Linked DNA regions of Solanum lycopersicum. Each later gene encodes a partner of the first gene's protein in a complex. Links are inferred from orthologs where the notes say so. Each region holds a gene or a part of one and is shown in the gene's direction. Other genes may lie near its edges. The genes, in order: mediator of RNA polymerase II transcription subunit 13, mediator of RNA polymerase II transcription subunit 17, mediator of RNA polymerase II transcription subunit 27, mediator of RNA polymerase II transcription subunit 9, mediator of RNA polymerase II transcription subunit 16, mediator of RNA polymerase II transcription subunit 25 and mediator of RNA polymerase II transcription subunit 11.

The links.
Region 2: mediator of RNA polymerase II transcription subunit 13 (region 1) and mediator of RNA polymerase II transcription subunit 17 share a complex: the UniProt entries of both Arabidopsis thaliana proteins name them as parts of the mediator complex. The link is inferred for Solanum lycopersicum from reciprocal best matches to the Arabidopsis thaliana genes GCT and AT5G20170.
Region 3: mediator of RNA polymerase II transcription subunit 13 (region 1) and mediator of RNA polymerase II transcription subunit 27 share a complex: the UniProt entries of both Arabidopsis thaliana proteins name them as parts of the mediator complex. The link is inferred for Solanum lycopersicum from reciprocal best matches to the Arabidopsis thaliana genes GCT and AT3G09180.
Region 4: mediator of RNA polymerase II transcription subunit 13 (region 1) and mediator of RNA polymerase II transcription subunit 9 share a complex: the UniProt entries of both Arabidopsis thaliana proteins name them as parts of the mediator complex. The link is inferred for Solanum lycopersicum from reciprocal best matches to the Arabidopsis thaliana genes GCT and MED9.
Region 5: mediator of RNA polymerase II transcription subunit 13 (region 1) and mediator of RNA polymerase II transcription subunit 16 share a complex: the UniProt entries of both Arabidopsis thaliana proteins name them as parts of the mediator complex. The link is inferred for Solanum lycopersicum from reciprocal best matches to the Arabidopsis thaliana genes GCT and SFR6.
Region 6: mediator of RNA polymerase II transcription subunit 13 (region 1) and mediator of RNA polymerase II transcription subunit 25 share a complex: the UniProt entries of both Arabidopsis thaliana proteins name them as parts of the mediator complex. The link is inferred for Solanum lycopersicum from reciprocal best matches to the Arabidopsis thaliana genes GCT and PFT1.
Region 7: mediator of RNA polymerase II transcription subunit 13 (region 1) and mediator of RNA polymerase II transcription subunit 11 share a complex: the UniProt entries of both Arabidopsis thaliana proteins name them as parts of the mediator complex. The link is inferred for Solanum lycopersicum from reciprocal best matches to the Arabidopsis thaliana genes GCT and AT3G01435.

What each region holds. Positions count from the first base shown.
Region 1 is NC_090803.1:12,755,466-12,758,493, forward strand, and holds the end of mediator of RNA polymerase II transcription subunit 13, read left to right. Parts: coding exon 1-333; intron 334-657; coding exon 658-1,029; intron 1,030-1,411; coding exon 1,412-2,022; 3' UTR 2,023-2,528; downstream 2,529-3,028. UniProt on the Arabidopsis thaliana protein: Component of the Mediator complex, a coactivator involved in the regulated transcription of nearly all RNA polymerase II-dependent genes.
Region 2 is NC_090811.1:1,513,889-1,517,889, forward strand, and holds the start of mediator of RNA polymerase II transcription subunit 17, read left to right. Parts: upstream 1-1,201; 5' UTR 1,202-1,310; coding exon 1,311-1,399; intron 1,400-1,498; coding exon 1,499-1,718; intron 1,719-3,166; coding exon 3,167-3,280; intron 3,281-3,447; coding exon 3,448-3,533; intron 3,534-3,655; coding exon 3,656-4,001. UniProt on the Arabidopsis thaliana protein: Component of the Mediator complex, a coactivator involved in the regulated transcription of nearly all RNA polymerase II-dependent genes.
Region 3 is NC_090800.1:77,928,903-77,932,997, forward strand, and holds the start of mediator of RNA polymerase II transcription subunit 27, read left to right. Parts: upstream 1-1,295; 5' UTR 1,296-1,606; intron 1,607-4,095. UniProt on the Arabidopsis thaliana protein: Component of the Mediator complex, a coactivator involved in the regulated transcription of nearly all RNA polymerase II-dependent genes.
Region 4 is NC_090801.1:55,598,634-55,602,915, forward strand, and holds the start of mediator of RNA polymerase II transcription subunit 9, read left to right. Parts: upstream 1-1,482; 5' UTR 1,483-1,803; intron 1,804-2,898; 5' UTR 2,899-2,939; coding exon 2,940-3,296; intron 3,297-3,403; coding exon 3,404-3,466; intron 3,467-3,548; coding exon 3,549-3,629; intron 3,630-4,013; coding exon 4,014-4,072; intron 4,073-4,212; coding exon 4,213-4,270; 3' UTR 4,271-4,282. UniProt on the Arabidopsis thaliana protein: Component of the Mediator complex, a coactivator involved in the regulated transcription of nearly all RNA polymerase II-dependent genes.
Region 5 is NC_090801.1:59,378,304-59,381,803, reverse strand, and holds part of mediator of RNA polymerase II transcription subunit 16, read left to right. Parts: intron 1-1,548; coding exon 1,549-1,617; intron 1,618-1,790; coding exon 1,791-1,879; intron 1,880-2,900; coding exon 2,901-3,013; intron 3,014-3,248; exon of another isoform or gene 3,249-3,354; intron 3,355-3,459; coding exon 3,460-3,500. UniProt on the Arabidopsis thaliana protein: Component of the Mediator complex, a coactivator involved in the regulated transcription of nearly all RNA polymerase II-dependent genes.
Region 6 is NC_090811.1:29,982,590-29,986,724, reverse strand, and holds the start of mediator of RNA polymerase II transcription subunit 25, read left to right. Parts: upstream 1-1,335; 5' UTR 1,336-1,493; coding exon 1,494-1,588; intron 1,589-4,135. UniProt on the Arabidopsis thaliana protein: Component of the Mediator complex, a coactivator involved in the regulated transcription of nearly all RNA polymerase II-dependent genes.
Region 7 is NC_090803.1:5,625,740-5,629,714, reverse strand, and holds the start of mediator of RNA polymerase II transcription subunit 11, read left to right. Parts: upstream 1-1,175; 5' UTR 1,176-1,491; exon of another isoform or gene 1,492-1,496; intron 1,497-2,784; 5' UTR 2,785-2,799; coding exon 2,800-2,853; intron 2,854-3,831; coding exon 3,832-3,948; intron 3,949-3,975. UniProt on the Arabidopsis thaliana protein: Component of the Mediator complex, a coactivator involved in the regulated transcription of nearly all RNA polymerase II-dependent genes.

The sequences.
Region 1 (3,028 bases):
ACACTCAGTCTGAAACATCTGTACCAGATGGTTTTGGATCTGCACATCAAAAATCACTTCCAAGCCTGCATTGTTGTTATGGTTGGACTGAAGATTGGCGCTGGCTGGTGTGTATATGGACAGATTCCAGGGGAGAATTGCTTGATAATCATATATATCCATTTGGGGGAATAAGTAGTAGGCAGGATACGAAAGGTCTGCAATCTTTGTTTGTGCAAATTCTGCAACAAGGATGTCAGATCCTTCAGTCATGTCCACCTGAGGCTGCCATTGCCAAGCCTAGGGATTTTGTCATTGCTCGTATAGGATGCTTCCTTGAGCTTGAATGCCAGGGTAAACATTTGTCATCAATATCTTGTGCTTACTGTCTACTTTTGTTACATCATAATACTCATTGGTGTTGAATTTTGATGAATCTGACTTGCTGTCTCCGTCTTTAATTGCGACAAAGTTTTAGCTGATCTATTTTTTTTTATTTTTTATTTTTTGGTTTGGCTGTGGAACACAAACAATTTAATTCTAATATATCTGTGTGGGATATGATGAATATCTTGATAAAGTATAACCTTGGTTGGTTTTGATTTGAGCGACTAAAATGAAGTTTCTGTTTGATTTATCAATCATGCTTATCTTATTAATGCAATTTTCTGGACGCAGAATGGCAGAAAGCCCTGTATTCAATTGGGGGATCTGAGGTGAAGAAATGGTCTCTGCAGCTAAGGCGATCTGTGCCTGATGGAATGACTGCAAGTAGTAATGGGACATCCTTGCAGCAACAGGAAATAGGTCTGATTCAAGAAAGAGCACTTCCTTCCTCCCCTAGTCCATTGTACAGTTCTCACTCAAAGGCTTCCTCTTTCATGAAAGGTGGCTTAGGTCAACCATCCACAAGGAAGCAGTTAATTGGCGGACAGGGTGTAGTGGACAACTCCAGGGGCTTACTTCAGTTGGTGCAAAGCATTAGTTTTGTCTCTCTTTCTATTGACCATTCCTTACAGCTTATGATTCAAGCGGACTCGACAAGTCATGGTACAATTCCTTACAATTCCTCTCTTCTTTTTTTGTTTTTTTTTTCAGACTACCTGTTCTCTGATAGAGTTGACTGTGGCTTTCTTTTAGATTCTCTTATTTACAATATGGGCTGTAGAGGAGATACTAAGATTATATGAAGTAAAGGGAGGAATAGTGTAGGTTAAGGAATTGTCGTTGGGATATGGGTTACCAAGGGAGTAAAGTGGGATAGGGTTACCATTGCACTTCTGTGTCAGGTTCTTCTTTTGGGTAGTGGTGATGTTGGGGCTTACCATATGAGAATCCATTAAAAAAATATTTTCTTTTGATTTGTCATCAGTTGACATTTTTATGCCTGGTTATTTCTGTTTCATATTCATGCATGGTATAAATTTTGCAGGAACAAGTCAAAGTAGTGGCATTATGAGTCAGCCAGGTTATCTTGAAGGTTATACCCCAGTTAAGTCCCTTGGTTCTACGTCCACCTCCTACATTCTAATTCCGTCACCCAGTATGAGATTCCTACCTCCTGTCAGTCTTCAGCTTCCTACTTGCCTGACTGCTGAATCACCACCACTTGCCCATCTTCTCCACAGCAAGGGATGTGCCATTCCCCTTTCAACAGGTTTTGTGGTTTCAAAAGCTGTACCTACAATGAGGAGAGATGTAAGGAGTATCTCAAAAGAAGAATGGCCCTCAGTTCTTTCTGTCAGCCTCGTTGATTACTATGGTGGCAGCAACGTCATCCATGAAAAGTTTTTGAAGGGTGTTGGTAAGGTTGGGGGAAGGGGTACAGGTTCGGAAACAAGAGATGTTGAAATAGCAGCTCACTTGATTCTTGAGAACATAGCTGCAGAGCTCCATGCTTTATCATGGATGACTGTAAGTCCGGCATACTTGGAGAGAAGATCTGCTTTGCCTTTACATTGTGACATGGTATTAAGGCTTCGGAGACTGCTTCACTTTGCCGATAAGGAAGTTTCTCGGCAACCTGTGAAAAGCCAAGTTTAGGATACGTGTAAATTGCAGCATACACACAACTTGTTCAAGCCGTCCATCTTGTGTCTTTGTTTCGTTATAGAAACAGACTGTAAACACAAAATGCATATACTAGTTCGCTGGAGAACATCCTTTCTGAGAAGTGTTACCTTGGGATAAATTAGTAGTTGTAGGATAGTAGATTTTTATTTTGTACATAATGTCATGTAAACTATTACAGGGATCCAAAGAGTTGAGTACACAATTCTTTAGTCCTAAAAATACTATCAAGTGCTCGAGTCCCTCATTATCTTTACAACATTCCAAGGCACTTGATGACAGGATGGTTTTACTAGACAGCAGATTTGTGACTCTTAGTTCATTTTTTTAATTGCTGAATAGCAGTGCTTAGTGCATGGGAAATGGGGATCTCAAGTTAGGCTAGTTTGGAGAAATGATGTGTCATCTGTACTTTGAATCCTTGAAAATGGCAAAGTTTTGCCTTTGTATTTTCCATTTAATTTCTTTGAGGGGACTAATCTGTTCTCTGGTCTTGTTTTCATTTTACTTATGCTAAATATAAACAAAGATGGAAGGCATGAACACTACCAATCTCAAACTAATAATGATATTATTTATCAAAAATGACTAGCTCTAGCAGTCGTATAAGTGCTTTATGATCACAAGTTTCAAAAGTTAATATAAGTGTCGGTACTTTACTAGTGGATTAAAATGTGTGTTCGTTTATCTAAATAGATCATTTGGCCATTTCAAAACTCAAATGGGCAACAAAAATGACAATTAACATAGGCATATTGTAAAGTTGATTTATGCAGGTATGAATAAGGTAACCAACCACATCATTACTAATGTTGGATTATGAAAAGCAAACTAGTCTCACTTGTTGTCACCATTAAATTTGGATTCATATCAGAATATTTCGAAATTTTTACCTAGGCTTTGGATTCGAGATTTCTAGAGCTAGCTTATATTTTGTATTAGTCAATTGATCTAATAGTCCAATGTGCCAAGGCTTGAG
Region 2 (4,001 bases), on another chromosome or scaffold:
TAATTGCTTCAAACTTTTAGATTTTTTTAAATAAAAAATTTATTGTTCTTTTGTATTATGAAATTATATAAATATGAAATTAATTGATTTTCTTAGTTAAATTTTACATGTATATTAATGCATCGTCAAAAACAGAATTGAAATAAATCTATTGTCAAAGAATTGCATATGCTACTACAATGTTCAAAATCAAATCATTAAGTTTTATTGAATCTATGAACTCGTGATTAGACCGATCTGTTACTGTAAAAATAATCCTTAGCCGCCAAGAAAATAATGAAACTAAGATGTTTATTGTAATGTATATAAGTAAAATTTATTCACCAATCATATTTATTTGAGTTAATATATGTAATAATATTTTTAACTGTGTTATTTTCAGTATGAAAGTTATGCATGAATATAAGACGCATAACTTTTCTGTAGACCTAGTTACTATCGAAACTACAAGACGATTTGCTAACTATCGAACCTTTTTGAATATTTAATTGCATGATTTTCTTTTCAGATAGGTTGATCTTCAAATTTTACCTTTAATAATTGATAATTGCACGATTTTTCTTTTAAATAGGTTGATCTTTAATAATCAAACTTATACCTAGCGGTACATAAGTTCTTTAAGGGCACACGTGCTATAACTTATGAGATATTATGATTAAAAAAAATCTAAACTTACGTCCCACCAAAAAAGTTATTGATTTATCATAAGAGACAAAAATTGAAATCAAGTACAAATACGATAAAAGCGCAAATAACTCATTTTTTGACGAAAAAATTACATGAATTAATACATTTTAAAATATAATTACTGATTTTAGCTATATTTTTTGTTTATTACCATTTATAGCAATACTGTAATAAGTCTGTAATATGTATTAAAAGTGAATTATGTATGCAATATATATGAATTCTAATTGTTTTTGAAATATATTATGTTTGTTTGGTAAAAAATTGTCGCATTGTACTATAAGTGTATTAAAATGTGTTATAAGTGTATTATCTATCATTAAAACTTGTATTACATGTGAATAATAAATTGTTCTGTGTAATATGTATTAAACTTGTATTATAAATGAATTAAAAGTGATCAAGCGAGTACATTTACGTAAGTTTCCCTTTTTTGACCCACCAAACCAAACATGAAAGGGCCATAGTGTGGTTCGTAATAGGCCCATGATTTAAGCCCAGATCTTAATAGGCCCATACATTAAGCGAACCAAACCCCAATTATTTTCGACGGGTATTTTCCCCGATTTAGGGCACAATTCGGGATTTCTCCGACACTTCTTCCCGGAAAATCTCCCTGAAAAATGAACGGCAATCTGGAGATTTCCGTCGACAAGCTTCCGATCAAGCGTTTAGAGTATATTGAAGAACAAGGCGCTGAACGCTTCCCTTCGTACACTTTCTTTCTCTCTCTATATAAAAATGTAGAATTTCATGCATAATCAGTTTGTGAGCTGGATATTTACATTTAGATTTTTCGTAATTGTTGCAGTGATATAGGATACGATGAGAAAACGGTGAATTTGATTAGGAGAATTGATTTTGCGTGGGCAGTGGAAAGAGAAGAGCCAAGTAAGAAGCAGAAGAAAAGCAGTAGTGCTACTTCTTCAAAGGAGACAAGTAGCAGTCAGCCATGGCAATGGCAGAGTTTGGTGGAGAATTTGCGATTGGCTCATCAAGAGCTTCAAGTCATTATCGATCTCATTCACACTGTAAGTGTTAACATTAGAATTTTGGCTTATAATTTTAATGATTGAACTTAATGTCTATATAGTTTTGATAGAAAATAGTTCAAATTAAGTTTTAATTGTTCTGATATTTACATCTGGTCTGGTGTTTGTGTGGTGTCTGGTCAAAGACTAATGTGTGATAATTGTGAGATTTTGAGAATAATGAAGTTGAATAGAGAAAAAAGAATGGTGAGCAGGTTATAGGTTTGGGATTTTATTCTTTTTGAGTTGATGATTTCTAAATTAGTAATTTGTACTTAGTAAATGGATTGCATATGATACCTACAAAGTGGGCTAAAACTACTAGGTTCTGCTGAACCTGCTTCCCACACTCTAGCTCCGCCTTAATACGGAGGTTTAGTCAATGCCAACTAGTGTGCGATTGAGGTGTCGGTTGATTGATTGATTATTTGTTGGTACATGTTTAGTATGTCTTGTGCCTAGCTGGTTGTGTTCCATGCACTTACCATAAGAGGAAAACTTTGTGTTTTAGCCTGATAATGTGCTTGAAAGTGGAATACATTTGTCTTATGCTGTACTCATTATTGGCCAATTGAGTTTTTGTGGCATGCAGTTTTAGACTGAATGATACAGAGTAGTGTTTGCATCATGGATAAATGTTAATAAAATTTCATCTATGAGAATAGAGCACACTGGTTTTATTCCAATGTTGAGGTTTATCACGAGAGTGGGTTGGAACATTTTTATTTAGTTATCAATATTAGTAAGGTATGAATCTAATTCAGAAAATACAATAGAGAACTGTAAAATACACACATGTATGATCGTGAATGTACTTGAAAAGTGGTTAGAGAAAGAAGATCAAGACATCTTATTTACAACAGAGGAATTATTAACTACCTCTAAGTTGTTCCAGTAGGGAATTTCATGTGTGCGTGATAAAGAAAGGCCTTTTGGAAGGTGTAAAGTTGGATACACCACATATTGGATTTTTGAATTGAATCAACGTGGCTTTTCTAAATTGCAATAGCTACACGAGTATCAAGCTACTAAGCCACACTATGGAAGTCTGGGAAAGGGTGGTCGAGATGAGGATGAAGAGGGGTGTGTCAGAACCAATTCAGCTTGAAGCCATGAAAGGAGATTGTTTGAGCAGTATAGGGAGAAGGAGAGGGACTTGTACATGGTGTTCATTGACCTAGAAAAGGCATATGATAATGTCCCTAGCATATCATTTACTCCTCATTATCAGTATGATAGAGACAACTAAGGATTAAAAAATTTGACTTAAGCTTTCGGCATTAGTTATTTAAGTGGCATGAGATTCGTCAGTCCATTTGCTCCTTCAATCCCTTTTTGCCCCTTCTCCCTGGCATTTAAGACAGCACCTTTCTTAGGCATAAGATGAATAAATTAGCAGGAACTGTGGATTATGTATTGCATTGTTGACTCTGCTGTTCTGCATACAGGTGGAGGCAAACGATGCAGTGACAGTGGCTGGCATGACCAGGCCAAAGCAATTGCCCAACGAGCATCTGTCAGACCTTGCCGTGTCTATGGCAACCAAGCTGCAATGCTTCCGTGTATTTTACTTTATCCCTTCTGCAAGATGTTATGGTTGATGTATAAGTTTGAGTTAAACAAATAATCCACTGATTATCTTTAAGTCTAATGGTTTGTTGACAAAGTATAGTTATGCACTTCATTAGCAAAGCTGTATGTGTTTCGTAATTTGGCTTTTCTTTTGCAGCATTTGGGGAAATATTTTAAGCAATCTGCCAAAGCTTTGGAACAACAAGTGGCTAGAGAAGCAAGATTTTATGGTGCTCTTATCAGGTTTGTTCTTTGTGGCTACGAACAGTATTAGTACATTGTGAAAGATATGTGTGCAGTCATTTAGACTACCATGTCTTTGTGCCTTTCCTCAAAATTTTGGCTATTTCCTGATGAGCTGATAGATTGCAGCAAAATTGGAAGGTTAAATGGCATCGGATGGTTGCTGCTGCTTCTGGAAATGAAGGGTTTTACATTGATTTATTTGACACTTCATTATATGATCCAGCGGTTGCATTTCGCCCATCTTCTGCATCTGTGGTGCGTATTGAGCATGACCCAGCTGGGATGCTGGCTGTGAATTTACCGCCAAATTCCTGCCGGACTCTTCAATTTGAGTTTCTCGGTGCAAGTACACCTGCTGGTGTTATAAAACATAGCAGACTGAGACCAAAGGTGTCTTTTGAGGATTCTTCTGGAGAAACTAAGAGAGAAAAAAGTGATGATGAGCATGTGAGAGAAACTCATTCG
Region 3 (4,095 bases), on another chromosome or scaffold:
AGAACCCACCAACAATAATATACCCCAATTGTTTAGTGTAAAAAAGTAACTCAATTATTGAGAAGTGGTCCTTGTCGATATTAACATATTCCACCTCGACTTTCCCTTTATAAGTAATTCCAGTTTTGTCCTGAATAAACTTACCACCATGATGAAAACGAGTTATAATAATGGCGTCCATAAGATTCCCTGAAACAAGGCTCCAAATTTTTCTGACAGTTATGAACAATAAAAACCAAAAAACCCTAACTTTATCTAGATATTAACAACAACAACCACATTGATACTAAAACCCAGTATATATCAATAAAAACCACAGGATAAACACATATATTAAAAACACACAACCACAACAACATGCTCGTCACTTACCTCACACTCGTCAACTCGAAAATCGCGAATGAACTCCAAAATCGTCTGCAATCTTCGATGATTCCTTCAACAAAACACTCGAAATCACTTTAAAATCTAAGAATTTCAGTTGTAAAAGTCATTGAAAAGGAGAGATTCTTAGGGTTTTCTCGTTTAGAAACGGGTTAAAAGTGATTTGGGGGGGAATTGATTTTTAGGTTTGATGACATAATATGTGGCACTGACGTGTAATTGGGTTGGAGTGTATTGGTCAAAATTTCCACGTGGGGAAGGTTCATCTCACGCGCCTAATTACCAAAAATAATTTATTGAAATTTGACTCCACATCAGCCAAAAATATTTAAAAGGATCAAATTATAGGGGGTTAAAGGATTTATAGGAATCTTGGTTAGTTGAGGTACCTGGGGGAAAAGCGCGAACAACTTTAGGGACCTGCGTATGTATTTGGCCTATTTTTTTTCTTCAAAAATCTTGTATGTATTTATTTTAATATATATTTTATTTGTATTTCTATTTATTATAGTTTTTATTTAGAATTTTGTATAATAATATATAAAACACAAAAAAATTAGTATGATGAAAAAGTGAATGAAATAAAAAATTGAAAAGAAATAATTAAATATTTGGTGTACTCATTCTTAAATAAAATACATAACAGTTGACATACCTTTAGAATAAATACAAATTACAAAAAAAAAAGTCAAATTCAGAAACAATGCAATATAATTTTTGAATGAATACAACTATTAATTGTAAAAATTGACTAATATTATTAAAATATGGATATTATCACTAAATAAGTTGATTTTTTTGACTAGTTAGCTAAATTTCCCTTTTTATTTTTGCTAAAAAAAGACTCCAAGGACATGAGTCTCTCACTTGGGCCCAACATTCAAAACCAAATCCGGCCCAAAACCATGACTGACCCGCCCCACACTATTTCTTCAGACCCCCACGCGCCCCTCTTCTCCATTCAGACCTAAATCGCAGCATCCCTAAAAGACGAAGAACCCTAGTTCGGTGCGGCATCTCTTCATACACTACGCCGTGATTGGCACAATTTCTTGTACCGCTCAAAGATTTTAGAAACTCTTCGATGGTATTGTGTTGTAATTTACCAGAAACTGTGCCTCACTGCGAGTCTACGACCAGCGACATTGCCTGACTTTCACGATTTCTATTGACGGCTTTGCAATCTATCAGCATCTCAGTCTTTTCTTCCAAGTTTCAACTGGTAAGTTTTAATTTTCTGAATTTTAGTGCGACGATTTATGAGTTCCATAAAAATATACTGATTTCTGTTCATCTAGCAAAGTGACCTGTATTGTCATGAGACCTGATATGAATATTTTGTTAGATTGTTTCTATGCAGAAGTTGATATGCACCCGCAGTTAATAGATCTTTGGCAAAACTTTCACTTTTCAATGGTGGCAATACACAGTGATATAGGATGACTTTTAGTTTAGGGAGTGTTATCTTAGAATCACATTAGAACTATCAAGTCAAAATTAGCTCCATTAGGCTTTATTTTTTTTGGTTATTTGACAAGTCACAAGAAGGCTAAAAAAGCCTTGAAAGTTCTTGAGCCTTGGTGAAGAATTGTTTAAGCATTTAATAACTCATTTGTTTACTCCTGCTGACATAACAAGTGTCTGAGGAAATTCATTGTCCCCTTCTTGTTGCTTAGAATGAGTAAGCAGGTTACGTGGCCATACACATTTTTTAACTTGAACTGCTAATTGTTCGATAATCTGATAACTGGTGGCCTCTTCCTACTTTGAACAGCTCAGTTTACCCCCAAAAAATAATGCATTGCATGGGAATCAACCTCTTCAGGCTGCATACTCTAGGGATAGACATCAATTGGTCTGATCTCAAAGTGCATTGGAGCAAACACCTCTATACAATTGTATAACCATTTTTGGTTTCTACTTGGATCAGAAAGTTTGATGTATTTTATTTTCTTTAAATGTTGGACACCAAGAAGTCATGCAAACAGCAACCTATTAGTTTGTTTCTCCTTGGTATCCTACAAGTTGTGGCGATTCAAAGTCCCCTACTTTTTCCTTTCATGAGAATGTAGGCTACGATAACCGGACATCTCTATTCAGTTATCTTTACAGAAGCTACTAATCTATGATAAACTAAACTTGTTGCCTCTATTTTGCTCGTTATGTCCTTCATGCGGCTCTGAGAAATTTGATTGCCTTTTATTTTCTTTAAGCGTTGGACACCAAGAAGACATGCAGACAACAACCTATTAGTTTGTTTCTACTTGGTGTCCTACAAGTTGTGGAAATTCAAAGTCCCCTACTTTCTCATTCTCATGAGAATGTAGGCTACGATAACCCTACATCTCTATTCAGCTATCTGTGTGGAAGGTACTTATCTATGATATAGTGAACTTCTTGCCTCTCTTTTGCCTCTTTAAGAGATACAGCCTTCATGTGGTTCAGGGAAGTTTCATTGGCTTTTATTTTCTTTAAACGCCGGACACGAAGAAGACATGGAAACAGCAACATATTAGTTTGTTTCTCCTTGGTATCCTATATGTTGTGGGTATTCTAAGTCCCCTACTTTCTCCTTCTCATGAGAATGTGGGCTACGATAACCCTACATTTTTATACGGTTAACTTTACAGAACCTACTAATCTATGATATTTTAACCTAGCTGCCTTTTCTTTTGCCATCTACCTCAAGAGTTCCTTCATCTGGTTGACGAAATGTCTTTAGTTTGTTTAGGTGTCGGACTCCAAGAAGACTTGCAACGAATAAACTATTAGTTTGTTTCTCCATGGTATTCTACATATTTTGATGATTCATAGTCCCTTAATTGCTAGCTGTCTTTTCTTTTGCCAGTTCCTTCATCTGGTTGACGAAATGTCTTTAGTTTGTTTGAGCGTCGGACACCAAGGAGACTTGCAACAAATAAACTATTAGTTTGTTTCTACATATTTTGATGATTCCTAGTCCCTTACTTTTTATTCGGAAGTTTTAAGCTCTGATCATTTATGCTTTTGGCCTCAACCTGAAAAACCATTACACATTATCTCATCCCTTGCGTTCTATATAGCTAACAATTAGCATTCACTTGTTGGAAAGAGAATGAGGAATTTGCTGATTGGGAGCTGTATTGTTGGAAAGTATGAAGTTTTGATAGACTAAAAGATAGAACCACAGTTGTATTAGATGGGAAGAGCTGTTTCTATAGCAGGAATTTGAGTTATTCTTTTATAGAGTAATTGTGCTGAAAGTCTGTCCATTAGAAAGGCTTGTGCATTTCTTTGTTATGTTGGAAATGATACTGAGTATGTTTTCTATTGTGATTCTTTCTAGTCTTCTGTGAATACTTCTCTCTTTCTACTTTTCTTTGTAGTTGTTTCGTCCTCCCAGAAACTTAGGTTTCTATCTCTTCTAATGCATTTTCCTCTTTGGTTGTCCACGATCCACTTTCTTGTTTTTATTGTTTCACAATTATTTTGACATGAATACTATAGTTCTCCAGATGTGTACTGGTTTTTTGGTTTTGGGCTTTTGGCTTCCATTTTAGGATTTTAATTTTTTTTGAAACAATTACCATGTTTTTATTTGGTCAACTGATAGTTTCCCTGTTTATTATTAAACATACAAGAACTGACTTACAAAGTTGAAATCTTTCCAATCTACATAGTCGAAGACACCTTGGCTTTATTTTTGCACAGCAGTTTTCCAACTTTTGAAGA
Region 4 (4,282 bases), on another chromosome or scaffold:
TAAATTTGGGGTATAGATAAATGATGTTTTATGCTAAAAATAATAATTTAAGGATGTAGTTTAGATTTCGGGTATAGTTAAAAAATGTTTTTGGCCAAATTATACCCTATATATAAATAAAATGCTATATAATATTGCGATATATAATTAATTGAACACCTATGACAAAGTCTATTGGTCTGCTGGTAAGCATGTTCATTTACGTGCAAGAGGTCCTCAGTTGCAACATGTTTTTTAAAACATAAAACACACTCTCTTTTCAATTATGTGTAAGAGATCTGTATTAAGTGACTTATTAGGTATACACATTCTCAAGATTTTATTTTAAAGAAAAAATTAAAGATTATTATTTATTATTATACTTTTGAGTATTTCTAAAGTATCTTTCTATTTAGAAAAAGTAAAATAGTTAAGAATTTGAAAATAGGAGAAAAAAACTCATCATAATCGTGAAAGTCACTCTCAAAAGGCTCATCATAGCCCTTTTTGTGACTCGACTCAAGCTCATCATACATTATTCGATATTTGAACTATTCAGTTATTTAAATTACAAAAAACACTCGACAATTTATTTCATATGAACTAGAGGGAGTATATTTCAAGCAAAAATTATTTTGTGACTTTTGTCCATTAGTTTTGATTTATTCCATCGATAGTTTTATCATTTTAAATTTCCGCAAGATTTAGTTACTAAGTGATGTGTAATTTAATTTCTCACACATTTGCAAAAATAAATTTTGTGTACCCACTTCGCTAAAAAAATTATCGACTCTTTTAAAGTTTGAACAACCTCGGCGAAATTTCTGGCTCCGCCACTATTTGGCGAGTAACATACTCATCATACACTTTCTTGGATATATCGCGTTAATTCATTCATCATCAAGATAAATGATTTTGATCTAAAAGTTGATGTCTGGTGCAACCTCTTCATAGTGGAAAAGTGCTTTTTTTTCTTCTAGGTCTTGACTCCTTCATACATGTCCTTGATCTTCTAAATATACGTCATAGAGTCTGGCATTAATACATACATTTTATGAACCCTAAACACCCAAAGGGACCTCCAAAAAAATTTGGTGTGTGTTTTATAGAGGGTCCCTTTTAGTGTTTAGGGTTTAAAAAGTGTCCGTTTTGATATCAGACTTCTACATACCTCCAATTTCCAAACATCTCCAAAAAACCTCCTTCAAGACTCTGTCTAAAAAACTTTCCAATCAATGAACATCATATGCAAGTTTTTCTATTTGACTGTACTTATTTATCAATCTCTTTATAATGACTTTTGAATACATGTGAAACATGCTTAGATATCAAGTGTATAGAATAAATTATATCTAATTTTGACTCATATGTATCTATTTTGTAAAGTTCTAAGAGAAAATATAATTAGAAAGTATAGTTTCAACCGATAAATAACACAAATGTAAATGTGTGTTTTGTGTTGTTTCCTCTTAATTTAAATACAATTCATTCAAATTTGAATGCACTAGTGATCTACTTTTTTATTAGTTCAATCTATTTCAGTTTGTTAAAATATTAGTTCATATATAAATCAAATCGGTTAATGAAAAGTGAGTTTTATGTATTTTGAATTAGTATTTTAATTATTAAAAATTATCTATTTTTTTTTAATACATACTAAATTTTATACTATAGAAAATGTTAAAATTTCTAAATTAGCTTGTTTGCTCTTGAAATCGAAACCTCCCCACAAATTGGGACAGCGGGAGTAATTTCAATTTTGCTATTTGAAAAAACAGAGGATTTTCCGTTGGGGTTTAACCGGATCGGGCCTTTTCATCTCCGGTAATCTTTCTCGTTTTGTAATTCTCATCGTACTTCTGCTTTGTTATTAACTGTACTAGTTGTGGTTTCAGTAAAGTTTAGCTTCGTATAGTTGTGAATTCATTCTCTTGTGGCGGCTTAAATCAAGGGTTTGGTTGTCAGTGTTATAGCAAACGAAGATTCTGTTCAGAAGATTTAGAGTTCTTTTTTGTTGGAAATTTTGAGGTTGTGATTTTGACCTAAAACTGTTAATTTCATAGATAGAGAGATATTTGTATGTTAGTAATAGGGAACCTCTAGGGTTATGAAAACCTAAATTATTGAATATTGGAATAGATGGGGTTCTAATGGAGAGAATTCATATAGTAAACCCAAACTAATTCGGGATTGAGGCATACTTCTTGATTACTGAGCTAAATTAGAGATAAAGAGTAAGAGGTGCAGTTGGGATTGATTCATTTCTCACTTTAATAACTATCTAATTTTACAGTTTTAGGTTTTGTAAACTTTTTTAGTGCATACTAATAACTATCTACCCTTTTGGTTTGCTTGGGATTGCTAGCTCCTTAGCTTTAGTTTAGGATACTTGTATGAGTGCTGAGATTTTTTTTATGCCCTTCCGAATTAGAGCTAAGCGGTCGCATATTTTGTAATCTGGCATCTACCCGATGCCCATTCAAGGATAATTTTTAACCTTATCAAAAAGACATAGTTGCAGCAGTAATTTTTTCCGATGTACCTATTGATTTAACAATGTGAACACCAAATTTATACAGATGTCATGGTAGTTTTTACTTGGAGATAAGAGTTTACTGTTTGTTAAATTTCAAAGAAGAGTTTACTGTTTGTTACGAGGGATGGGCTTCAGTTTTAGAGGGTCTCACTTGATGGCTTTGTTCTCTTTGGTACAAAAGAACTATTCTTGTAATAAGATGTGGATGAAATGTCATTTAGGAATGATGGGAAATATATTTTTGAAGTGGTTTGTACATTTCAGAATCTTAGGAATTATTTCTCTTTGCTACTCAGTCCATTAGGCCAGTTCATGCTTTGATAGTTTTGGCTATTTGTGTAGTACTTGATTACATCTGATGACATTAATTTTATCCATTTTAGAACCAAAGTACCAACAGATTTCAGCTCAACAGCCATTAGTTATGGACCACTTTGGAGGAGGAAGTTGGACAATGATCCCCAACATCCAAACTCACAGTAATCCTTCGACACCCTCCAATCAAGACAATTTATTTCTTCAGCAACAGCAATTTCAACAACAACAGTTCATTCAACCGCAGCTCTATCAGCAACAACAGCAGCAGCAGCAGCAACAACAACAACGGTATCAACAACAGATGCAACAGCAACAAATGCAGCAGCAGCAACAGATGCAGCAGCAGCAAATGCAGCAACAACAACAACAGCAGCAGCAAATGCAGCAACAACAACAACAGCAGCAGCAGCAACAACAACAACAGCACCACCAATCACTTGCCTCTCACTTCCATCTTTTACAAGTATTGGGCAAAAACCATGATCTGTAGCTTGCTATTTTAATAGAGTAACGAGACATTTCTCTTTCCTAGTGAGACCTTTTGTTCTAACTTTTATTGTCATCTTACAGCTGGTGGAGAATTTAGCTGATACAATTGAAAATGGAAATCGAGATCAGCACTCAGATGCATTGGTTTGTTCATTTCTTGATTGATGCATTATATGTTAGTTTTCCATTTCTTCTACATTAAACCGGGTGTATTTTTCCTCACCAGGTAACTGAATTGAAAAATCAGTTTGAGAAGTGCCAGCAGCTGTTGACATCAATATCAGGGTCTATTAGCTCAAGATCTATGGTATTTCATTTTCACACATATCCTTTGATTTCTGTTGTAACTTGTTCTGAACACACCCCCAACTCAAAAAATAAAAAGAAAAAAGAGAGAGACTCCAACAAAGAGTTAAGCGCAATAATATGAAAACAGAACTTCAAAATTATTCTTTTCTGGAAGAGTTGGATTGTTTTTCTTTTGGCAGTGTTATTGCTTTTAATTGTGCTTTTCCATTTGGGCCTGTTTGTTCAACTTATAGTTGTGAAGAATTTTACTGAAAAGTGGGGTTCAATATGTTTGAAACGATGTTGACTTGAACAAAGTTGCTCCACAAATTCTTATTTGGTTGCATGTTTTGATGCTTAAATATGGGTAAGATAATTGACCAGTCCTGTGTTCTTTGGACAGACAGTTGAGGGACAAAAGCGCAAAAAGGCAGAGTGCGAACAAATGCTAAATCAGCGAAGGTTTGTATTATATATATATAAAACACACACACACACACATATATATATGTGTGTGTGTGTGTGTTTCTAATATTGTCTACTGAAATTTGTATAATTATTATTTGCTTCATCTGATGGTCATGTTTCATGCTTAATTACAGGGATCTTATTTCGAGGTACAAAGGCTCAGTTGAGGAGATTATTAACTCTGAACTATAGCTCATACTCGCA
Region 5 (3,500 bases), on another chromosome or scaffold:
GGACAAGTACTAACTCTTCCAGTTAATGAGTCTCTTTTCACATTTCTCATGTACCCCATTCCATATGTCTCTGGACTTGCTTTTAGCTCCCAAAGGCATACCTAGGTAAGTAGTTGGAAGCTCCCCAACCTTGCCTCCTAGTGTTCTGGTCAAAACTTCTGTATTAAGCACACCATTGATAGGATAGATGAAGTTTTTCCCCCAGTTAATGTGGAGACTAGATACAGCTTCAAAAATGACAAAAATGACCCTCAAAATCAGTATTTGTTTTGTCTCAGCTCTACAAAATACCAATGTGTCATCTGCATATTATAGATGAGTTATCTCTAAACTAGAAAGTTCTCCTGCTTGGAACCCCTTGATCCATCCTTTTCCCTTTGCTGTATTAATGAGGTTACTCATTCCTTCCATAGCTTAGATGAATAAAAATGGGGAAAGAGGACCCTTTGTCTCGGGAAAAAGCCAGTGGGTACTCTATTACAAGTATAGAGAACCTGACAGTGCCGATACAATGTTTTATCCATCTTATCGGGCCCCAAAACCCATACTTCCCAACATTTGTATAAGAAAGTCCCAGTTTAAGAAGTCATAGGCTTTTTGTATGTCCAGCGTGCATGCAATTCCTGGCTTATTACTCCTTTGTCTGGTCTCTATGCATTCATTAGCTATCAAAATGGCATCCATAATTTGTCTGCCCTTGATAAAAGCCATCTGATGCCTATCCACCAGGCTATGTATCACCCTCTTGAGTCTCTCTACTAGAAGCTTTGAAGATTCCTTGTATAACATTCCTGTGCACATTCACTGTATAAATGTTTAAAACATACTTTTTGTCAAGATAATCTTCCAGACATGTCTGATTTTTCTTCTTGATAAAGATTCCAACCTGTCTAAAATTGTTTAGCAACCTATCAGTTTCAAAAGAGAACTCTCATCTCCTGGATGTTCATTATGGAATGAGTATTTTGGCATAGAAGTTCTTTTTTGAAAGCATCCAAGGTTATGACCTAGTGGTCAATGAAGTGGTTGAGAGCCATGAGATCTCAGTGGAGACAAAAAAACTAGGTGATTCTTCCCATATATCTTAGTCTTGGTGGACAGAGTTACGTGGTACTTGCTGCTGGTGGGAAGTGAAAGGTATCCCGTGGAATTAGTTGAGATGCGTGAAAACTAGCCTGAACACCACGGTTATAAAAAAAGTAGTTCTCTTTTGAAAATTTCCAACTCCTATGCTGTGACTCTGCTTTGCTATGATCTGTAGAGTGTAGACTGTTCTTGACTCAGAGAACATGGAAAGGAAATCTCCTTTCATGATCTATCACACATTTATTAGTATGCATATATCCTTGAAATCACTATCAAACATGTATAAATCCTTGGTTTCACAATCAAGAACATGCTTTTGATGTTATTTCTCTCTCTTTCTCTCTCCCCTCTCTCTCTCTCTCTCACTCTTTTTCTCCTTGTTCCTCTGGCAGTTGCTTTCATCTCAAATGGATAGATATATTGTCTTTTGTACTGAGTTGCTTTTTTGAAATGTTTTTTTAGTGCTGTTGCTTGGTGTGGAAAGCTAAATGCAATAGCTTGTGCGTCTGAAACATGTGCAAGGATTCCAAGGTTAGAGCCTCGATTTCCATCACTGTAAATTACTTCAGCACTCTGTACTTTACTGCACATGGATATTATAACTGTCCAGTGTTTCTGCTAATTCGATGTGGTCAAATTCTGTAGATATCACTTTATATCTTTCGCTCAACTGTTTTATTCTTATTACTTCTACCTTTTTGTAGTTCAAATGCAAATCCACCTTTCTGGATCCCTATACATATCGTCATCCCAGAGCGACCAACTGAGTGCACTGTGTTCAATGTTATAGCAGGTATTGTAGAATGACTTGACAGTGGCCATGGATTTTTCTTCCTTTTGCAAACATGTTTAGAACCTAACAAACGAGGCCCTCTCCTTTAGGTCCAGCAGTTGTTTATGCATGAGATTTTCTGTTTCCTCCTCTGATTTTCTCGCACATAGAAGGAAAATCCGAGATATTTGTGAAATGGTGAACAAATGAAAACTGAACAGACGGTGCAATGCAAAGCAGTGGATAAACAACTCTTCATGGAGGAACAATTAATTAAGTTCTCAACTTTTTGAGTAATATGTGACGGACCTTCAGTGTATTAAAGAATTCTTAATGTTTGTTGTGACATTTAATTTTTCCGACCATCATATATGGGATGCTAGATTGCTTATCAGTGTTTGTACTAAAATATCTTGGAGTGCCCATTTTGAAGTGACAATTTGAATTGTCTAATTATCATAAATATTTGGTGAGATTGCATCTGGACAAAATGATCCTTCTAGTTTCCACGCAAAGCCCGAATCAAGCTTTGACCTTCTAGCATAATATTAAAAACTATTCATTGAAATTGGAGTTGATTAATTTTTACATGATTGCAGTGGATTAGAAAATAGTTCGAGTAGCTTAAAAACACTTTTACATGATTGCAGTGGATTAGAAAATAGTTCGAGTAGCTTAAAAACACCCTCTTTTCAAGAGGACTTAGTTTGTTTTGATTTCAAATGCGTAAGAGTGCTTTTTTTTCCTTTTTAGATAACTAAATAGGCCGTAAAGCTCTGGTCCATTGTGTTGTTGTTGCACTGAACTGAATTTTGTCCGAAGAGATGCTCACTTTTAACTCTTGTGCATGATTGATTACCGCCAGGTGGTTTATTTTGATATTTCATCTTTTACATTTTACATTCTACAGACTCCCCTTGTGATGTTGTTGCACTGAACTGGCTTTGTCCGAAGAGATGCTCACTTTTAACTCTTGTGCATGATTGATTACCGCCAGGTGGTTTATTTTGATACTTCATCTTTTGCATTTTACATTCTACAGACTCCCCTCGTGATTCCGTCCAATTCATTGAATGGTCTCCAACTTCGTGTCCACGTGCACTACTCATAGCTAACTTTCATGGGAGAATAACAATCTGGACTCAGCCTTCACAAGTAAGCTGTTTTTTCTGGAGTTTACTATAGTGCATTTTGTTGTCCTTTTCACTTTTTGTTTCATGTATTTTTGGTTACTTGCACGTTCTTGGTGAGGGGTTTCTTACCTTTTCCATGTCACATCTGCTAGCCAACATCTTGATTGAGTGTTGGTTTTTCTCATATGTTACAAATTCAAGATTAATTCTGCCTTGTTGCTTCAAAAACTATTCTTACTTACTGCACTTAAGGGTGTGGTCCAATGGTCAATGAAGTGGGTTGGTCGTAGACTCAGATTCCAACAAAGAACACTAGGTGATTTCTTCCTATCTGTCCAAGCCTTGGTGGATAGCTGGTGAGAGGTAGGAGGTACCCTGTGGATAGAGTTACCCAGTTCCTGGTCCTGACACCACACTTTTTTTTTTAAAAAGAACTATTCTTACTTAAAATGTATGCTTGGTACACAGGGTTCAGCTAATCTGGTACGAGATGCTAGTTGTTGGCAGCG
Region 6 (4,135 bases), on another chromosome or scaffold:
CCCATTCAACTTCGGCGAATTGCCTTTTCATGTTTAGTCTGCCAACCTGCCTTGAATATTTAAAATTGTGCACACAGTCAACTTGGGTGAGGTCAGACCAATCAGGCGATCCACCATTTTTATTAGCCGACTACCAGTTGGAAATTTGTACTCCTTACAATGTTTTTGGCCCTATTTCCATGTATTCATCATTGCCTTGTCCTTTATCCTTCATACCTTAAAAACCTCAAAATATCATCAAGATAGGACATAAACAGGCAACGAGGACACTAATTGTTGAACTAAAAAGACCTCAAATGAGTGAAAATCTACCACTCATCATAGAGTTCAAGTGGAAATATAAACATGGAAAACAACTCGAAGATCTCGATGCATAATATATTGCAACTCAAAATTAAGAATTTAGAACTTGAAATTGATAACATAATTCATATCAAGAATTCTCAAAACTAAGGGTATTACCCTAGATTAGACTCTTATTGACTGAATTTAGATGTAGGGCATGAGGACGAACTCAGTCTATCAGTATGAATAACCTTATATACTTGGAAGACCATTTTTTTTTTAAGAAACGCAAAGAACTTGAAGAAGATGCTTGAAAACCCTACCTTTCTCATCATGGATGATTACTCTAAGTCTTGGGAGTGCTAATGAACGTAAAAGAGTTGATCAACAATGTTTAGCCCTTAATTAGAGGTAAAAATGTTGGGGTTTAAGCTTAGAAAGGGTGGGAAAACACTGGAATATCCCTACTAAATAGTGTGGGATCGACTCTATGGGTGCCACCTACAGATTATAGAAACTTCTATTGTTCGTACTAATCAACTATAGATCGAGTAATGAAGACTGAGATTTGGGTCAACTTTTACAAAGTCCTTCCTACGATCCGTAGGGCCCTCTCATAGAACCCAAAGTTCCTCAAATTTTTTCTAGGACACTCCTACGGTTCCTCTCTTTGAATCGCAAACCATTCTACAAACCATCTTGCCAGTCCGCAGGTCATCATATGAGACTTGACATTTTCCGAAATTCTTCATCTACTTAAACAACTTCATTTGTGAACAAAAACCACATAGAGTCCTCTTTTATTCTTATTTTTTTTTAATGTAAACTCCCAACTTCCAATTACGAATATACGTATTTAGAAGTAATTGTATAACTTTGGAAGAAACGATCACACAACGATTTGCAATGGAAGTTGCTTTTAGTACAGTAACTTACCATAATACAATATTTACCATAATTATTTTTGGTGTGTTAATTCTTATTGAGAATTTATTTATTTCCATATATATATATATAAATGTTAAATATTAGGGAAATAAATTAAAAAACAAACAAACCCTAGGGATAGTATTTACAAGTCAACATTTTGTGTCTTTGGCTGCTGCACAAAATTATTATTGTTAAAAGAGTAATATTTTATAAGAAAAGAATAAACAAGACAAGGTTGGACGTGGAAAGGAAAAATCAAGCAGTTGGTTAAAGCAGCGATGGTGGACAAACTGATCGTCGCCGTTGAAGGCACCGCTGTGTTGGGCCCTTACTGGAAAATCATCGTTTCCGATTACCTTGATAAAATTATCAGGTACTCATTTTCATACACTTAAATTTTCAGTTTTTGTTTTTTCTACTTGTTCCCATTTTTGTTTTAGTATTTCATCCTGAATTCAGTCATTGATTTTCGTTATTTGGATGAATTGTTGTATGTCGGCCGATTATCTTTCCCTAGTTTAGGATGGGGATTAAAACCTCAACCTTTACCCGAAGTTAATCAAAATTATGGTCAGAAGCTATTGAAATCCAACTCCTGACCTCAGCAGACCATAGATTCAAACTCGTCTACTATGAATACATTGAGTTGTTTATTTATTCAATTTTGTAAATATCTTTTACGGAAAATGCTGCATTCCGATGCTAGTAAATCATTGAGAAAATGCTGTGCTCAGGAGAATACCATTTCTCTATGTGATAATCATGTGCACATAGCATTTGAGTTTCTCTGAACTAATATGGGAAACTTTTGAAGCCTTGATACCGAAGTTTAACTTTGAAAAATGAAAATTAGAATGAATGGCTTACAAAAAGTCTAATTCCTGAAGGGAGGCGGTTAAAGAACTCGTAGTTGTTTGCAATGATTGGTATTTCCAACCTTTGCACTTTACCCACCCTTCCCTTCTATAAGATCTTTTGTTTACATGGTTCTCTCAAACCCTAAACCTAAGTTGCTCGTAATCTCCAAAAATGTTGCCGCAACCTTGTCGGATCCTCCAAAAATTTACTACTTTTGAAGTATCCGACATCCACCTCGTGACATTTTTAAGAGTCGAGGCAACAGCCTTAGTAACGTAAATCCTACTTACAATTTCTTGTTCACACAATTACTATTTCTCCATGAATTCTCTGGCAACCTTCATCATCTCGTATCTCTCTCATTTTTAATTTCTTAAGGCTCTCAATCAGTGATTCTTCTTTTCAAGTTTCAACAGCTGTGGTCTTTGTTTTTCAGAAATTTGGTTACTCTATTCTATCTCTCCACTTTGACTACTTAGCTGATTTATATTTATTGTGTTTAATTGAATTTATAGTGGCACCATAGCCTTGCTCATCTGCTTTCTTTAAAAGTGAGGTAATACTGCAGCAATAGACAATGAGGATGTTAAACAACCAAAATGTGACATCAAGAAAACAAAATATATGCATTTTACCCCCTCAAAGTCAAAGTGTTGGAGAAGATAGTCAAAGTGAAACCTTTAGGCAACACAAATCCGATGTTAATTATTTAGACCGACAAATTCCCCTCTTATTCTAGCAAAAATTAAATAGACCAAGCCCTTAGGTATACAGATAAGCATGAATAAGGGAAATATGATCATTTAATAGGAAAATGTTGTTCACCTTTTTCTCTTAACTTTTTAGTCGCGTGTTGATTAAGTCTGCGGAGCTTGGAATCAACAGTGTATTTTAATCTTCTGCATGGATGGAACTATTTTTTTGAAAGGATAAGTAAACAAGGTTAATTCTCTTTCAGAAGAGGCATTTCAGCAATAATAGTTGTTTAGAAATAGGCTTTTTAGAGTAAAACTGGATAAACGACTTCCAATTATATTACTTCCGTTCTTTGGTTGAAGGAAACTAAAAGAAGCCATGTTAATTGAATTATGCTGTTTAAGATATTATTGCTTTGCCAACTATTATGCATGCATTACAGTTATCTTTGTGGCATATTTTTCTCAATCCAATAAACTTATTGAGACCCTCAATTTCTTAGACTGTTAGTTGACTTGCTGGCTCACTACATTCCCTGCTTCGTAAGATATATAAACTCTGGAGAAGTATTAAATGCAGATTTTAAATTTAAAACTTAAGATTAACTATTGAGAAATCTTAAATCAATATCTATATTTGAAAATTTGGGCACAATTCGAATGAAGGATTTATTAAGATGTTTTTAATATACTGCCATGTTTAAATGGGAGTAGAGTCTATCCAAGACTACCAGGGAAAATCCTCCATCCATATGGTGTGGATGCAACTCATTTTGGTTATTTACTATATATAACCCTGTCCATGACAAGGTTGATTATATGCCACTCAAGGTCATGTATATGTTTCCCCTCTAGGGGCAAGCTCAGGTTGCTAACGAGAAGAATATGTTCAAGGGAAAAAATTATTGTAGTCAAGGAAAGGTACATTTGCAGGTTTCTTTTGCTAACAATTCTTGTTGACCACTGAGAGGGATAACTAGACCTGCTTTCTGACCTTCTATCGCTGGTCTACTTAATTATAGATTTCTATCGATTTTCAGTTAGGTTTCTTCATTTGAGATGCTTCTTAGTTCTTTCTTTTACTGGTATTTCTGAAAGGTGAGATCATCCAATTTTGAATTGATATCAGTTCGGTGTTCTTCTCAAATATGCTGAGCCGCACATATGCAAGCAAAAACACATGTTTTGTTGAGCAAATGACTGAGAATTCATCCTCCTTCACCTACTCAGCTCTTCCTTTTATCTTGCTTTACCATGGCTATTTATTTTTGTTTGGCTTTCTGATCGTTTAGCTGAAACAGTTGGGGAGTTTGTTTGGCTTGAATGGCTGATGCAGAAACCTCCGCCGAGTGGTTCTTCTAAATTCT
Region 7 (3,975 bases), about 7.1 Mb from region 1:
TATAATTAAATTTTATGTATTAAATGTTTAAAATAGTTTCTCTCTATAAAATAATTTTAATATTAAAAGCACATCGATATTTGTTTTTTTTCGTAATTTGACTTTCAAAAACACTTTTTAAAAAAATTATTCAAACACAAATTGCTTATAAAAACACTTTTTAAAAAAATTAGTCAAACACATATTGCTTATAAAAACACTTTTCAAATGAATTTGCTAAAAAGTTTTTTTAAAAAACTTGTTTTAAGAAAACGTTTTTGAAAATAAATAGTTTTTAGATTAGTATATATTCATTTAATCAGCAAATGTATTTTTAAAGGGAAAATTGTATATAGCAAACTAATAACCTAAAATAAATAGAGTAGGTAGGGTTTGATTTAATTATGCTTCATAGTAAACGTTTGCAAAAAAATTGTCAGGCGCCTCTATCCCAAAAATCTCGTTCGCCACTCTCCTCCAATCTCTCACTCGCTTCCTCACTTTTTACACAAACACAAGTGTATAAAAATTGTTTCTAATTGTATAAAGCAGAGAAAATTGTATAAATACATATATTTTTGTTCCTCTCTCTCCCCTCTTCCAGGTCTCGCTCGCCACTCTCCCAAATCTCGCTCGCCACCCTCGCCTTTCTCACTTATACAAACAAAAGCGAAATGTATAAATTGCGTTTCTGTTTGTATAAAGCATGAGAAAATTGTATATACACATGCAAGTACATATATTTTCGTCCTATACAATTATAATTATACAATAAAAATACCACCCTGCCCAATTTCTTTTGTCTTTCTCTCTTTCTCGTTTTATACAATTCTCAAATTGTATCTAATTTCTCTCTTTCTCGTTTTATACAATTCTATTCAATTGTATATTCCTTGTCAAGTCTTTTTTGTCTTTCTCTTTCTCATTTTATACAAATTCAAATTTTATATAATCGTTCTATACACTTATAATAATGCAATTTGCTTTATACGCTTCGTTTTTATACAGTTCTCTGCCCAAGTGTCTTTCTATTTTTTGTTTTATACACTTCATTTTATACAATTTGCTTCAACTGTATATGTATAGAGAATTATATAGTTTCTATGTGTTAAAGAATGACAAAAAGTCCCACATCGGTGATTAATGAGATGAGTGAACTCCTTATAAGGCTTGAGCAATCCTCCACCCTTTGAGCTAGCTTTTGAGGTGTGAGTTTCCTTTTGAGCTAGCTTTTGGGGTGTGAGTTACGCCTAAGACCTAATTTCACACTATGTTGAATTTTTTGTTTGCTATATCTTTTTTAAAACCTTTATAACATATTAAACAAATAAAAAATTGAAAAAATGTTTTTTTTTAAAAAAAATATGCGTTAATTTAAGCAATATGTTTATTCAATTACATGCTTGTATGATAAAAATAAAAAATAAAAATTACAGGCAACAACTCGGAGCTGAGACTATCTCCGACCACCGGTGACTGCCGTTCTTCTGCCACTCATAGCCGCCGTTGAAGGTAAGGTATGATTGACTTCTCACTTGTAGATGCCGATATCAGACATCTCGCTGGCTCCTTTTTTAATAATAAGAAAAATATTTCGTGCCTGTGCGTCTTATATGTATTTGTATTTGTATCTGAGCTTTGTTTCACTCATGCATGATATGAAATATCGTTGTGCATTTGAGCTGAATTTGGGGCTTTTTGGTTCTTTCGGAGCTTCAGGGATTTGTAATTTGAGGACCTTATTTTTTTGGGTCCTAAATCCACTGCTTGCTTTAGTGGCTGGCTTTAGGGTTGAGCCGCTGCAGTCAGAGATATGAGTGATGAATTCCTCCAAAAAATGGAGAAGAGAGAAGATGACAAAGAGTTAATGAAGTAAGTGGAATATGAAATTAGTGAGGTTTTGAGAGTGTAGGACAAATTTGGAACAGCGAAGAAACATAAGACTATCACTGGTTGCTTGTTTAATAAACTGCAGATCTCAGGTTCAGGGCTATTGAACGATTCGAAAGAGCTCATTCGGAGTTGAGTGAATGGCTACTCCGAGATAGAATTTGAAAAATTGAATTCAAATTTATAAGACTATTGAACAATTAGAAAATTGCAAAAAACGAAATGATTCCATTTGAACAGTAAGGGGTGATTAATCAAGTCTGGCAATGGGTTTGAGTGTCGAAGGAAATAGCCCCTTTGCAGAAATGCTAGAGGAAGACGGTGAAATGTTAGGATTGCTCGTTTGATAATCAGCAGGTCTTGGGGGTAAAGGCGGAGCTAGGATTTGAAGTTTACGGGTTCAGTGTTCTAGTCCTTGATCGTTCGGTATGGGGGATGGAATAGACAAGGATTTCTCTCGTGGGATCAGCTATCCAACTTCTATATGGAATAGCCAATCTCAACATTTTAGAACATATCGCATGAGATTGTTATCCTGCATCTTGCCAACTACACGCAGGATAAAATAATCTCTTATAAATTAATAATTTATACATATTAAATAGATTTCTTAAGACAAATATAGAGTTCAGAGAAAAGTTGTTGATTTCGGCCAAACCCGTACCTTGAAAGAGTGTAGTAGGGTGGTAAGTTTAATGGACATAATACTTATTAGATGTAAGTTTTTCTTCTGTTTTCGGATTGATTACAGAGGATTTAGGTTTCTGATTGTTTAATTATTTGACTGCAAAGATCTCAGAACCAAAATCTCTGAAAACTGCACATAATCAGGTTTTATAGATTCTGTTTATTTCTCCACATCTAGATCGCTCTACGGCATTGCAATTCAGTAATCTTTTTCTCCTGTCCTGACAGCTTCCCTCAGAATACATGGATTCGCAAAGCCAGAATACTTCATTGCAGCGGCTGCAAAATGTTGAGAAGGTAAATGTTTCTACAGGATTATTGACTTAAGATGGGTTGATTTCAGTAGCTGCTATTCTTTGTCATCAAAATACTTAATGTTCTGATTTCAGAATTGATACTACAATATTATTCCTTCCTTGCCCGAGTCCTTGTTACTTGTTCCCCTATCCTGTATACCAAAATGTTTCAAGAAAGAAAGAGAGCGAGGAGAGTACTTTTTGAATTTAGGTGAAATCCATATTTCGTTGATTGGGTGAAACACATAGACAAGCTTGAAGATATATGGATGGTGTTATGCCTCGGTAAGGGACTCCACCATTGAGCTCTCCTAAGCCTTCTGGAGTTCCGGATCCTTCAATTTCTGGGACAACCGGACAAATGAAATGAATGAGAACAAGAGCCGCTTGGCTAGATAACCATGACTAAGAATTTCATGTCACCCACCTAACTGTCAAAATGGGCTGACCCAACCCAACTCAACCCATCCTCAAATCAGCCAAAATAATATAATTCGAAGTCAGAGAATGAAGATGGGAATAGTGTTGAGATGACGACAATGATGAATAAATCAAAGACGCTGTGGACCGAGAATAGGATCTGAAAGGGCTTTTCAAACTTCTGCTTCTGTTGGTTGCTTTCTTCCTGTCTGGCTCATTGAGTATCTTCCACAAACTCCAGGCTGATCTTCAACAGTTGGAAATCAAATCGTATTCGAGATCGTCCTGTCATATGCCCTGAATATCTACTGACACGAGTTTTCTCTGGTCTAACGGAAACAGCATCTCTGTTGTTTCCTAGTCATTGGTTTCTTCAGATTAAAAACGTGGAGATGATATAGCATGTCAAGTGCAAAGGCAACTAATCGTAATTTGATGAGTAAATCACGATCATAACTTTCAATGCGGAGTCAGTAATCACTTTTCTTGATAGAAAAAATTGTAACTGAAACATTACTCTCATACCTTCTGTTGCTGTATCTTCCTCTGATGCTTGCAGAGGATAGTCAGAGTTCTGGAGCTAGCAGGAGGTGTAATGGATGAAATGGCAAATCCGAGCGGCCCCAGGAAGGAGCTTATTAACAACCATTGTAGTGAGTTCATGCAACTAATCAAGGTAAGGACATACTTTACTTCTTTGCAC